2 linked regions of the Drosophila melanogaster genome follow. The protein of the gene in region 2 purifies or fractionates together with the protein of the main gene of each other region. This does not show direct contact. Each region holds a gene or a part of one and is shown on either strand. Other genes may lie near its edges. The genes, in order: Alk and jeb.

What was found.
Region 1: the proteins of jeb (region 2) and Alk purify together in Drosophila melanogaster (affinity purification with western blotting; 2 studies listed by BioGRID). This does not show direct contact.

The regions. Positions count from the first base shown.
Region 1 is NT_033778.4:16,636,768-16,641,950, reverse strand, and holds the start of Alk (anaplastic lymphoma kinase), read left to right. Parts: upstream 1-1,939; 5' UTR 1,940-2,205; intron 2,206-3,975; exon of another isoform or gene 3,976-4,303; intron 4,304-5,183.
Region 2 is NT_033778.4:12,116,152-12,121,419, reverse strand, and holds the start of jeb (jelly belly), read left to right. Parts: upstream 1-2,079; 5' UTR 2,080-3,359; coding exon 3,360-4,821; intron 4,822-5,268.

The sequences.
Region 1 (5,183 bases), 4.5 Mb from region 2:
AAAAGTTCACAATTTACAGCATGCCAGAAACTGAAGGTTAAAGAGACGAAGGGCGCGGGGCTTTTGGATACCAAAAAATTGTGCTGTGTATAATGTGTGCCAAAAAATGTAAGAAGGGAATACGAAAATGTTGTATATGCCACGCATAAATCAGAGAGAGTAAAAGAGAAGGTCGAGCGAGGGGGTAAAATTTGATTGGATTTCGTTTAACGTGTGGAAAATGATTGAAACTTTTGCAGCTGAGGGTTTTCCACTAACTTTTTTTCCCAGCCAAGTTGTGCGCCAAATGCGAAAAATACCAAGCTGTCCGATTTCCGGGTCGCTGGGGCGTCTCACTTTCACTTTTCTCCAAGGATTGCGCTGTGTGTGTATGTGTGTGTGTGTATGATGTGTGCTTGTGTGTTATTTGCGTGTATGTTGGTGACACAACCAAGGCAACAGAAGCAACACCGAGCACAATCACTCGTCCTTGCAGTCACACAAAAGTTGATGTCCAGAAAAGAGCAATTGGATTTGCCGCAGGCCGTAAATATTTCTTAATGCAAAAAACAAAGTGCTGTGCTGAAGCTGAGGGCCGTTAACAATAATTAGATTTTTCTCTACTCAGGCATTCGGCCAACACGCACACTCACACACACCCACACAGAAAGCAGAAGCGTTTTGCTGGACGAGAAATGAACCGTTTTGCACGAGGCACAGAAGCGTTCTGGCCAAAATATTCGTGTCTACCTCTGAGGAGGAGTCCTTTTTCGAGTCCGCAGCCTCTGCGCATGTCCCACGGCCATCGATCCGCCTCGACGGTGGTGGCCACCAGCTACCCAGACCACCGTAATCCTGGCCAGCGCAACGTGGCCCACAGCCACTTGTTTGCATCATCGCGTGTTTATCCCGCCGATGCGCAGGCGCCGCCAAACATAAACAATGTCCAAGCCTAATGGATGACAGTTACCCCATGACAGTTGACAGTTGGGCTATCGGACCACTTGACATGCGCTCCTTGGACCGCCGTTCGCCTCCTGTCGACCGCCCAGGGCTTCGTATTTCGGTGTGCGGTGGCAACCCTCGAGGCACTTGAAAAAAAGACCACAGACCGCACAGAAAATACAATGAATTACGGAATTCATACAATACAATATCTTAAAAATAAACATATTCCCTGGGCTTGTGTGTTTTATTTATTGAATTAAACGATGGTAACAATTTTGCACTAATTTTTCATAAGTTTATTTTTTGATCGCGTCAAGAACTACTTTCTTTCTGAGAAACGAATTATTTTACATGTTTCTAAGAAATTAAAAACTATGTAAAGCGAAAGTCATTATCCAGTACACAAATAAACTCCTTCAGCTTTAACTTGTGCCATTATCGCCTGATTTGTCCCACTGTGATCATCAGAGCTTCGTTTTTGCGAACTTCCGTTTTGCCTCAGATATTGCAGCTTCAGTCGCAGAATCATTAATTACTTTCGCAGCTACCCCAAGCGAAAAGAAACAGTCGCAGTGCTGGCTAAAAATATCTCCCCTTGCGGCACAGCGCACATAACATAAATCTTCCGGCTGATCGGACTAGCCACATCGAACGGCAGCAGCAGCAGTCGCAGCAACAGCAGGTAGGCCAGCCGGAGGTCAGGGGTCAGACTAAAGGCTGCACAATGTCCAGGCCGTGACGCCACATCCCCGCGGCGATTGGTGAAACGCACAAGTCAATTCCAATTGCATTACCACTTGACACGTCGCGACGAAAACAAATAAACAAACACACACGAACCCAAGGATGCGGCAGCCGTGAGAAAAAAATAAACACGAAGAACGCACCAGCAGATATATCTCGTTCAGCAGTCGCCAGATGAGATGGACTCAGTTCGGGTAGCCAGTTCTTCGGTCGACGCCTCCGCATCGGTCTTTAGCTTCTGGCCGATCTCAGCCGCCTGCTGTTATTCAGTATTCATCGAACAGTCGCATCTCTCAGTCGCCCAACGGATGTTGCAGCACCACAGGAACTACACAGATATTTACGCGATTCCATAGATTCTCGTTCTCGTAGTCGAGAAACTGAAAGCGAAATCAATGGTATCCGCAAGATACACGCTCGTGTGCGCGGCTTTAAGTGAATATAATTGAAGACCAAGTGATATAAATAGTTGGATAAACTCTTTCTTCAGCCGCGACACGTGCCGGGCACACTTTTCCCCTTTCGAAAAATTGAGTGAGTTTTACCCCTAAAATATCGAAAAACTATTTTTAAACATATATATGTATATATTATAGTGAAGTGCATCTGCTAGATGCAAATTGCGTATACTGAATATTTTATGTGCCAATTTACGCATCCCTAAACATTTTACGGGCCCGTTTGCTTTACCAAAATGAGGAAAACATCAAAAAATATCAATTATATTTTTATAAATGATAGAAGGAAGTCTACTCGACTGTGCTAGATGTTGTTTATATTTGATTTACTTGATTCTTTGGCACAATATAGACTTTTTACCGCCGTTTTCGGACTAAATTTAAAATTCAACACGCTCGTAGTCGTCAAAGTGGATGCTGAGTTTTCTTCTGATCATGCCCGCTTTTCTTCTCTCTTCTTTCGATTGCTTTTTGTTGTCTGCGATTTCCTACAGCTGCCGACGACACTTATAAATATATTTGCATATATTAGCGTGTTCTACAGATATAGTATCGCACGTACGTACATATATCTGCACATGTACTCTTATCTGCGCGATTCTATATTAATTTTCGCTTACTTGTCGCTCTATGTCTGTGTTGCCCATTTCCGTTTGTTGTCGTCATTAATTGATGTTGTTTATGCCAAATAAAAATATTATTTCTGCAAAAGAAAATAGGGTTTTGTATTATCGAATTTTCTTAGAAATGTGGGAAAGAGTTAGCTGGGGATAATTATGAACATTTATATGTTATAATGCATGCTAAAACATTGTGCAATTAGTACTTACTACTTAAATATTTATAACACTTCAGTTTAGAAAACACTAATCAGTGTTTATGCAACATTTATTATTTGATTCAGATTTATTTCAAACATCTATGATTGTGTACACTAGTATTGTGTACACAAGTTTTTAAACGACCCCAAAAACCCTTCGTGCACATTTCAATATTTAGCGAGTAACCATTTGACCTTTCATCATGTATCATTTATTATTTTATTTTTTTTGATTTCATTTACAAATTACCATTGAAAAGCAGAAAATTCAATTAGGTTTCCGCGAAGTGCAAGTCGGGCCTTTGCAAACCTGGCCAATGGCACCTGTTGGTGGCGAGGCAAATGCACCTTGCGTTAAGACCAGGCTTACTTAAATTACAAGTGTCCGGCTTATAAGCCAGCACGTCACAATCTCCGAGGGGCGAAAAAGGACCAAGATAAATGCATTTGTGTCGCATCCGTGACTCTGATTAGGTGATATTACATCGCCGGACGAAAGGACGCAGGAGGCGCAGAATGGGGTCCTTAATGCACTGCAAATTGAAAGAGGAAACGCAGCTACGACTGAAACTGACGCACAAGCAGGCCCATCGCACCCCGCCCCCCCCCCCCCCCCATCGGAATAGGGGGGTTTCGCCACTGCAGCGGCTGATGGAGCTAAATTCAATTTCCAGTAGTTTGCATTAATTTCCCGGCTTATGCCGACCGCCAGAGTGCGCCACTGTCGCTGCCTCCCTTTCCTCCCCCTTCCGTTTCCATCACATTTTTCTCACTTTCACATGCAATCTGAAACAGCAACAGCTTTCGCTGGCTGAAATGTGTGGAGAACGAGTGAGCTCTGTGGAAAATCCAGCGAGTCGGAGAAGAAATTTCCTCAATTTCCAAACGCATCTGTAACTGTGCGCTCGTGTATCCTGTGGCTCGATTTCAGGCGCAGGATATTCGTTTAGCCACCGACGCGAGATGCCGATGCCGATGCCGATGCCTAGGATGCTGGCCGGGCTTTAACGAATTTCCCCACATTTCAGTCTTCGTTTGCCGAGCGTCGTGCGCGCAAGTATCCCTCAGAATCGCGGATAGACGGCCTCAAAAAAAAACAACAAGATATACCCAAAAAAAAAAGAAGATAAATCTGAAGAAAACCAATATATGTAGTACCATCAACAACAGTGCTAGAAAAGTTAATACTACAAAAGAGAGCAAACACAACCAGCAGCAAATGAAAAAGAAAAGGAAACGTGAAAAGTGTAGCTGAAAACTTCATATTCTTCGAATAAAAACCATATTTTTCCCCGAAAGATACATAATTCAAGAGAAGCAGAGCTTACGAAAATTTCGGTTGAGCCACAAATCAGTGCGTAATGGTAAAAGTGATTACATATTCGAAACTGAAATGTGAAATCATTGCATTCAATTTGAAATAATGATGAGCAGTGAAAAATCGAATGAAAAATTTGTTGAGCTGCAGGAAAAATTTCGTTACTTCCAAGCTTGCGTGTGTGTGTGCGTGTATGTGGTGTGTTTTTTTGTGTAGTATCTTTTGTGCGCCTCGGCTGCTCTGTATCTGTAAGATACGCAAAACAATTTGTCTGCGCCATTAGTAGCGAAGAGTGTCCTATGTGTGTGTGTATCCTGCGCAGTCAACGATACCGAGGCTGCGTCTCGCATCCTGGCAAATCCTTGCCACCATCGCCATCTAAATTGGAGTCGGGCACAGAGGGCAGCGCAATATTTGCGACGTTGACGCAGCCCCCACTCGCTCCTTCTAATGTAGTTGTTGTTGTTGTTGTTGCTGGTCCTGCTCCTATGGCGGCAATGTGTGTGTATCTGCAAAATACGATATACAGACCAAGGATACTGTCCATGTGCTAGCGCTCTTTTGTTGCTTCAGTTCGAAATTTGGACTATATTATTGTGGCTTCCGTTTAATTTTCTTTTTATTATTTCTGGAAAACTTCGGTTAAGAACACAATAACATTTTTATTATGTCGAGTAATATCTGTATTAATTGACTAGTTTTCGGGTAATAACTCAATGTGCACAGACACTGAAATAACATAAATATGGATTGTTTCCAATGTTTCCTGCACAAATAGATTTGATTCTCAAAACTCTTATATAAACTTTACATAATAGTTATATTTCAAACTTAAAGAAATACCCTTTAAGTACTTTTTAAGTGCTATATCTATTTTAGATATGAGTTTGGACCGATTATAGTATCCTGGCAGTAG
Region 2 (5,268 bases):
AATGAAAATCCGCCGCTTCGATTTTTGTTGTTGACGTAGTCGTCGCCTCTTCAGTTTGCGCCTGCGCACTCCAGCGGCAGAATCATCTGTTGTTGTCCCCCCACCAGGAATCCTTCGCTCGCCTGTGGTCCCAGCAAGTGCATTTGGCTTGTGGTAGGACCATGTTGCGGGCCAGGCGTATTGGGGGCGGCGAAAGGTCCTGGCCAGGCTCAGCTGTTTGCCGTCGCCTGTAGAGTTTTCCAAACGAGCCGGAGACTTTCGGGTCGTGCAACAAATTGAGAGGCCAAGCCGGCTTTTTGCATGTAGACTTTCAAACAGAGAGATATGGCTTGGAGATCGAAATAATATCGAATTTAGTTATATTACAGCAGTAAAGCAAACATTATGGTGAAATACTAAATATAGTCATGTAGGAGTTTACAAGCGTACATTAAGTTTATCTTATAGCCCTTTCTTAATAAATAATTAATTTACTGTATTAACTTAATTTTCTATGTTCAGACTTGATTGATAAAATATTGCTATGAATGACTGTATTCTCCAGTTGTATTCTCACCTTCTTTTTACGCTCGACTCCGAAACTTTTTCGATTATACATGGCGACTATTCACCTTTTCGTCCATTCAAAACTCTCCACACCGTGGAACAAGTCCATTCACGTAGCTTAAGCTCGCGATTCAATTTCACCTCGGCTCGGATATCATTACGTTGGCACGGCGAATATATTATAGCTCGCTCGTAAAACGTAAAAGCCACAGACATTGTGACGACAAAAGGACTCGTCTTCGTCCTCGGTCTGCCACGCCTCCCCACCCCCGCCCCCAGCCTTCAGCTGTTTGTTGTGTGCAACAGCAAGAACAATGGCAAAAATCGAAAAACGAAAAGCGAAAAGCGGGCTGCAAGCAACGATGACGCCTCTGCCACAGGACATTCTCCTTCATTCATGTTGGCTTACACCCGAATCGAAGGGTCCTTCGGCTCTGCGTCCTCCCCTTTCCCGATTCGTATTCGGTTCGCCAGCTTTAATGACTTGCAATCTATGTGCTCATTTTTATTCACAATATATCCTCGGCGCTGCTGCTGCGTGAGTTGTATTTTGCCAGTAGATATATGTACATGTAGGTATGTATGTACGTATCTCGCCAGTGTGGTTGTCAATCGTTTTCGACTTTTGAAATGTAGGGGAAATGTACCGCTAGTTCGTTGGGCGGTCGATCGGCATATTCCATAAGAAAGGGGCTTGTAAATATCACGGGAAATGTACTAAGTTATCATAAGTTATGGCACATAAGTTGTTGCCAAATCTTTTGCACTGGCTGTTATGATCAGAATCTATTATAGTTATTATAACTGCATTTATATATCGTGACTTCATTTAGTTTATTTGGTTTCTACTAACCGTCTTTAAGTATTGCAGTATTAATTTGTTCAATAATTAGGAATATATTTTACGGTAATTATGACGAACATTAAAATGAAAGATTTCTTAAAAATGTGGTTGTTAAAAAGGTTGTTAAATGTTTGAAACTTATATACAAACATCTTCTGTTACAAAAGGGTTACAAAAATGTTGGTCGACATGCATTAGGTAAGTGATTTCAGTGAAAATCCCATTAGTTGCCCATTAATGAAATCACAAACCTTAGCTCGGGAGAAACCAGATTTGTGGTATCACTTAATTTTCCCACAATTGATTTTTTCCGGCAAGAAAACACAACGCGATTCCGGGTAAGCCCAGTGAAAAGTGCATTCAGTGATTGAATCCTCGGCTGTTGTTGGGATTAGTGGAGCCACAGCTGATGACAGCTAAATGGGATTACCCAAATTCGAGTCGAACTGGGGAAATGCCCCGCCGGAACGAAGGACTCCGATGCGGATGTTGAACAACCCACGCAAACTGGCGACCGCAAATCATATGGCATCTGGGAAATGGAAAACAGGGAGTCAATGATGCCGGTAACGGTGCACAGTGCGCAGTAGCAGGCACTCTCTCTCACTTTCTCTCATCCCGTTAGGCTTCGGGAAAAACTCTACACATGAGGCTGGTTGAAAACAAGTGGTTGAGCGGCCGCAGTGCTCAGTATAGAGCGAACAGTCGTTTCGAGCTCGAGTTTTTCCCGCTGACCGAGAGCACACAAGCTGGAGCTGAGGAAGCCCAGAAGCAGCAGTAGCAGTAGCAGCAGGAGCAGCAGGAGAAAGCAGAGAAAGCGGCGAAAGGAGCAGGGAGCCAGGAGCCAGGAGCCAGGAGCACGGAGAAAGAGCAAGGAGAAAGGAGAAAGGAGCCAGAGAGAGAGAGAGCGGAGAGTAGCCAGCCCAGCAGCCAGCGGTTCGTCCGAGGAGTGAAATTCGAGGCGGGGCGTGCAGGGAGTGGGTGTACGAGTGCGACTACGACAACGACTGCCACATAAAGTGGAAATCCGAAACGCCTTGAGGAGCGGCAGCGACGTCGACGCGGGCAGCGACAGCGACCGCGACGCCGACCGAGGCAGAGGCAGTGGCAGAGGGACACGCGTCAGGCGGCCAAGCAAAAGGCAGACAAACAGGCAAATCCTGCTGAGACGACACGACGAGTCCTTGCTCGTCGGTTCAAACGTGCGGAACACTCTTGGAGCCAGGCGATAAAAAAGAATATAACAAAAAAAAAAAAAAATATACACACTAGTAGCAAAGCTAGTCCACTAAAACATCACTCACCCAGAACAAGGGAAAGTTTTCACACCACAAACGAAAGCTGAATAACAACACAAGAAAATTATATACCCAAGAAACCAAAGTGCCGCGAACAAAAACTAACTAATAAGCCTAAGGTCTAAATCGAAATCGAGTGGACTGGCCAGTGAAAAGAAGAACGCCAAGTTAAGTGCCCGAAAAAATATACAGATAATATCGAAAAATAACGAAACCATAAACAACGGTCGTTGCAAGGCATCCACAAAAACGCGATAGCCAAAAAGTTTGAAAAAGAAAAAAAAAACACACACACACAAATTTGGAAAAGTTCGAAATTTTCGAAAAAACTTCGTTCGGTGCAGGCCAGTGTAGTGCAATGCCAGGCTTAGGCCGGCACAGTGTTGGTCAGCGGTGTGGGGCCTGAAGACCCACAAAAGCCGTGTGTGCAAAGCATCGAAAGTCCAGAGAGAAACATTGATATCGGGACTTTCCCTCACCACCATTCACCGCCACCAGCCCCGAAAAACCACCTGCCACCAGTCTCTATAACTCCCGCCCCCACCCCCAAACACCATCCCCCCGGACTAGCAAACTAACTGTATTTTCCCCTTGGTAAACCCCCTGGTAAACCCGAAACCGCCAAGATAAGCCGTCTAATCGAGAAGCTGCGCCAGACCAACAAACGGAAAATGTTCTGCTCGCTGGCCCAGACGCTCTTCTGCGTCCTGCTCATACAGGGCGGCCTCTATGCCCTCCATCTGAGCGGAAACGGAAATGGCAACGGGAACGGGAATGGGAACGGCGAGAAGTCGCTGGGCGAAGCCAAGGCAGTGCAGGTGCCCAGTCATCCCGTTGGACCCTCGACGGGAGTAGCCGCCGCCTGGCAGACCGCACCCTCGCAGCAGCAGCAGCACCAACAGCATCCCGGAGGATCTCCGCCCGGCGGTGGATCCTCGCCGCATGGCCATCGGTCCGCCGCAGCGGCCGCCTTCGATGCCACCACCGTGCGGCTGAACAAGGAGATAGCGGATATGGCCCAGCTGGAGCGAGAGCGACTAATGCTCCTGGCCCGCGCCAAGCAGACGGCGGAACAGCCGCCGGCGGGCAGTAATCATCGCGGTCATCCCTTCATTGCCGGCCGGATACAGATGCAGCCCAGCGAGGAGCTGGAAGTGGGCGACTATCCGGCGCTGTTGCAGCAGGCCGCACGGGGCTACATCTTCGGTAATGTGCAGAAGCAACCACCGACGCCGGTTACCCTGGAACAGGATTATGAGCAGCTGAGGGATCTGGAGAATAGACCCGTTAAATACTACGGAAGAGTGGTGCAGCCAGCGGAGAGGGAGGAGCAGGTGGAGGCTCTCTACGAACCGCTGCACTCGTTCGGCGACTTTGATGACTTCTCGGAACTGGAGCAGGAACCGCAGGAGCCGCACTTGGGCGAGGATGAGTTGCTGCGTGAACTGGATGCCTATCAATATCACGGCCTGGAGGACGAAACCCTTCCGGAGAATCCCTATCGCACGCTGGAGCAATTGGAGCTGGGTGCACCCGACTCCCTGCAGCAGCTCTTCGAGCAGGAACAGGAGCAGCGAGATGCCCCCTTCAAGGCGATGCACACCGGCAAAATCCACAACCCGGGCAACTACAACATAAGGGTGCAGCAAAAGTGGGCGAGGAAACGAAATGGCCAGGGCATTGCCCATAATCCTGAGGCGGAAAAGCAGCTGCAGCGCCAGATCTTCGCCCAGCACTTCAAGCCACAGCGCAATGGCAAACTATCGCTGTCCGCCAACTCGGAGGCCACGGCCAGCAAGCACCTGAAACCATCCACTCGCTCCGGCTCCAAGGATAACGAGAAGCCACATAGCGAGCTAGGTAGCAGTGCATCCTCGGCCGTCTCCTCCGCCACTTCTTCCTCCGGCAAACAAGCCGCCGGCGATGGACTACCTAAACAGCAGCAGGTGGAGCAACAGTCGCAGCAGGACAAAAAGGATCCCAGCCATAAGCGATCCGGTTCCGGATCGGCGGGATCCATGGGATCGCCAGGAGGCGGTTACTCAGCGCAGCCACCGATTTCACACAGCATAGCCAGCCAGCTGATGCTGCGCACCGCCCGCGGTCAACGGCAATACGATGTGCCACAAATCGGTGAGTTATACCTATAAATTCCCATTATATAGAGGCTTGAGCTGGGGTTTCAATGGTGGACTATGGGGGAGGAATCGTTGGAACCTAGCCGACTTCAACGCTGACCTTTAGCCGACTGTCTGGCATTAATTCGATCCAATCGAACATGCACCCAGCGCAAGAAATAAAACCTCAATGAAATCTAATTAGAGTGAACTTTCGAAATTCTAAAATAGTTAGTCAAAATTAAAAGCAGGAAATAGTTGGTTTGCAGCCAAGTTCTTTAGGTCATCAAATCAGGTTAGAAATTAAGAATTTTGATTTAATATTAATATGACTATTAAATCAGATCGAATATCTCGCAAAGTAGTTCTGTATTAAAGCGCAGTGTATTGTAATTACTGCGGCATGGTTAATTTACAAATGCGTGTTACATGCCCAGAAAGACAACATTTACCCACAATAGTC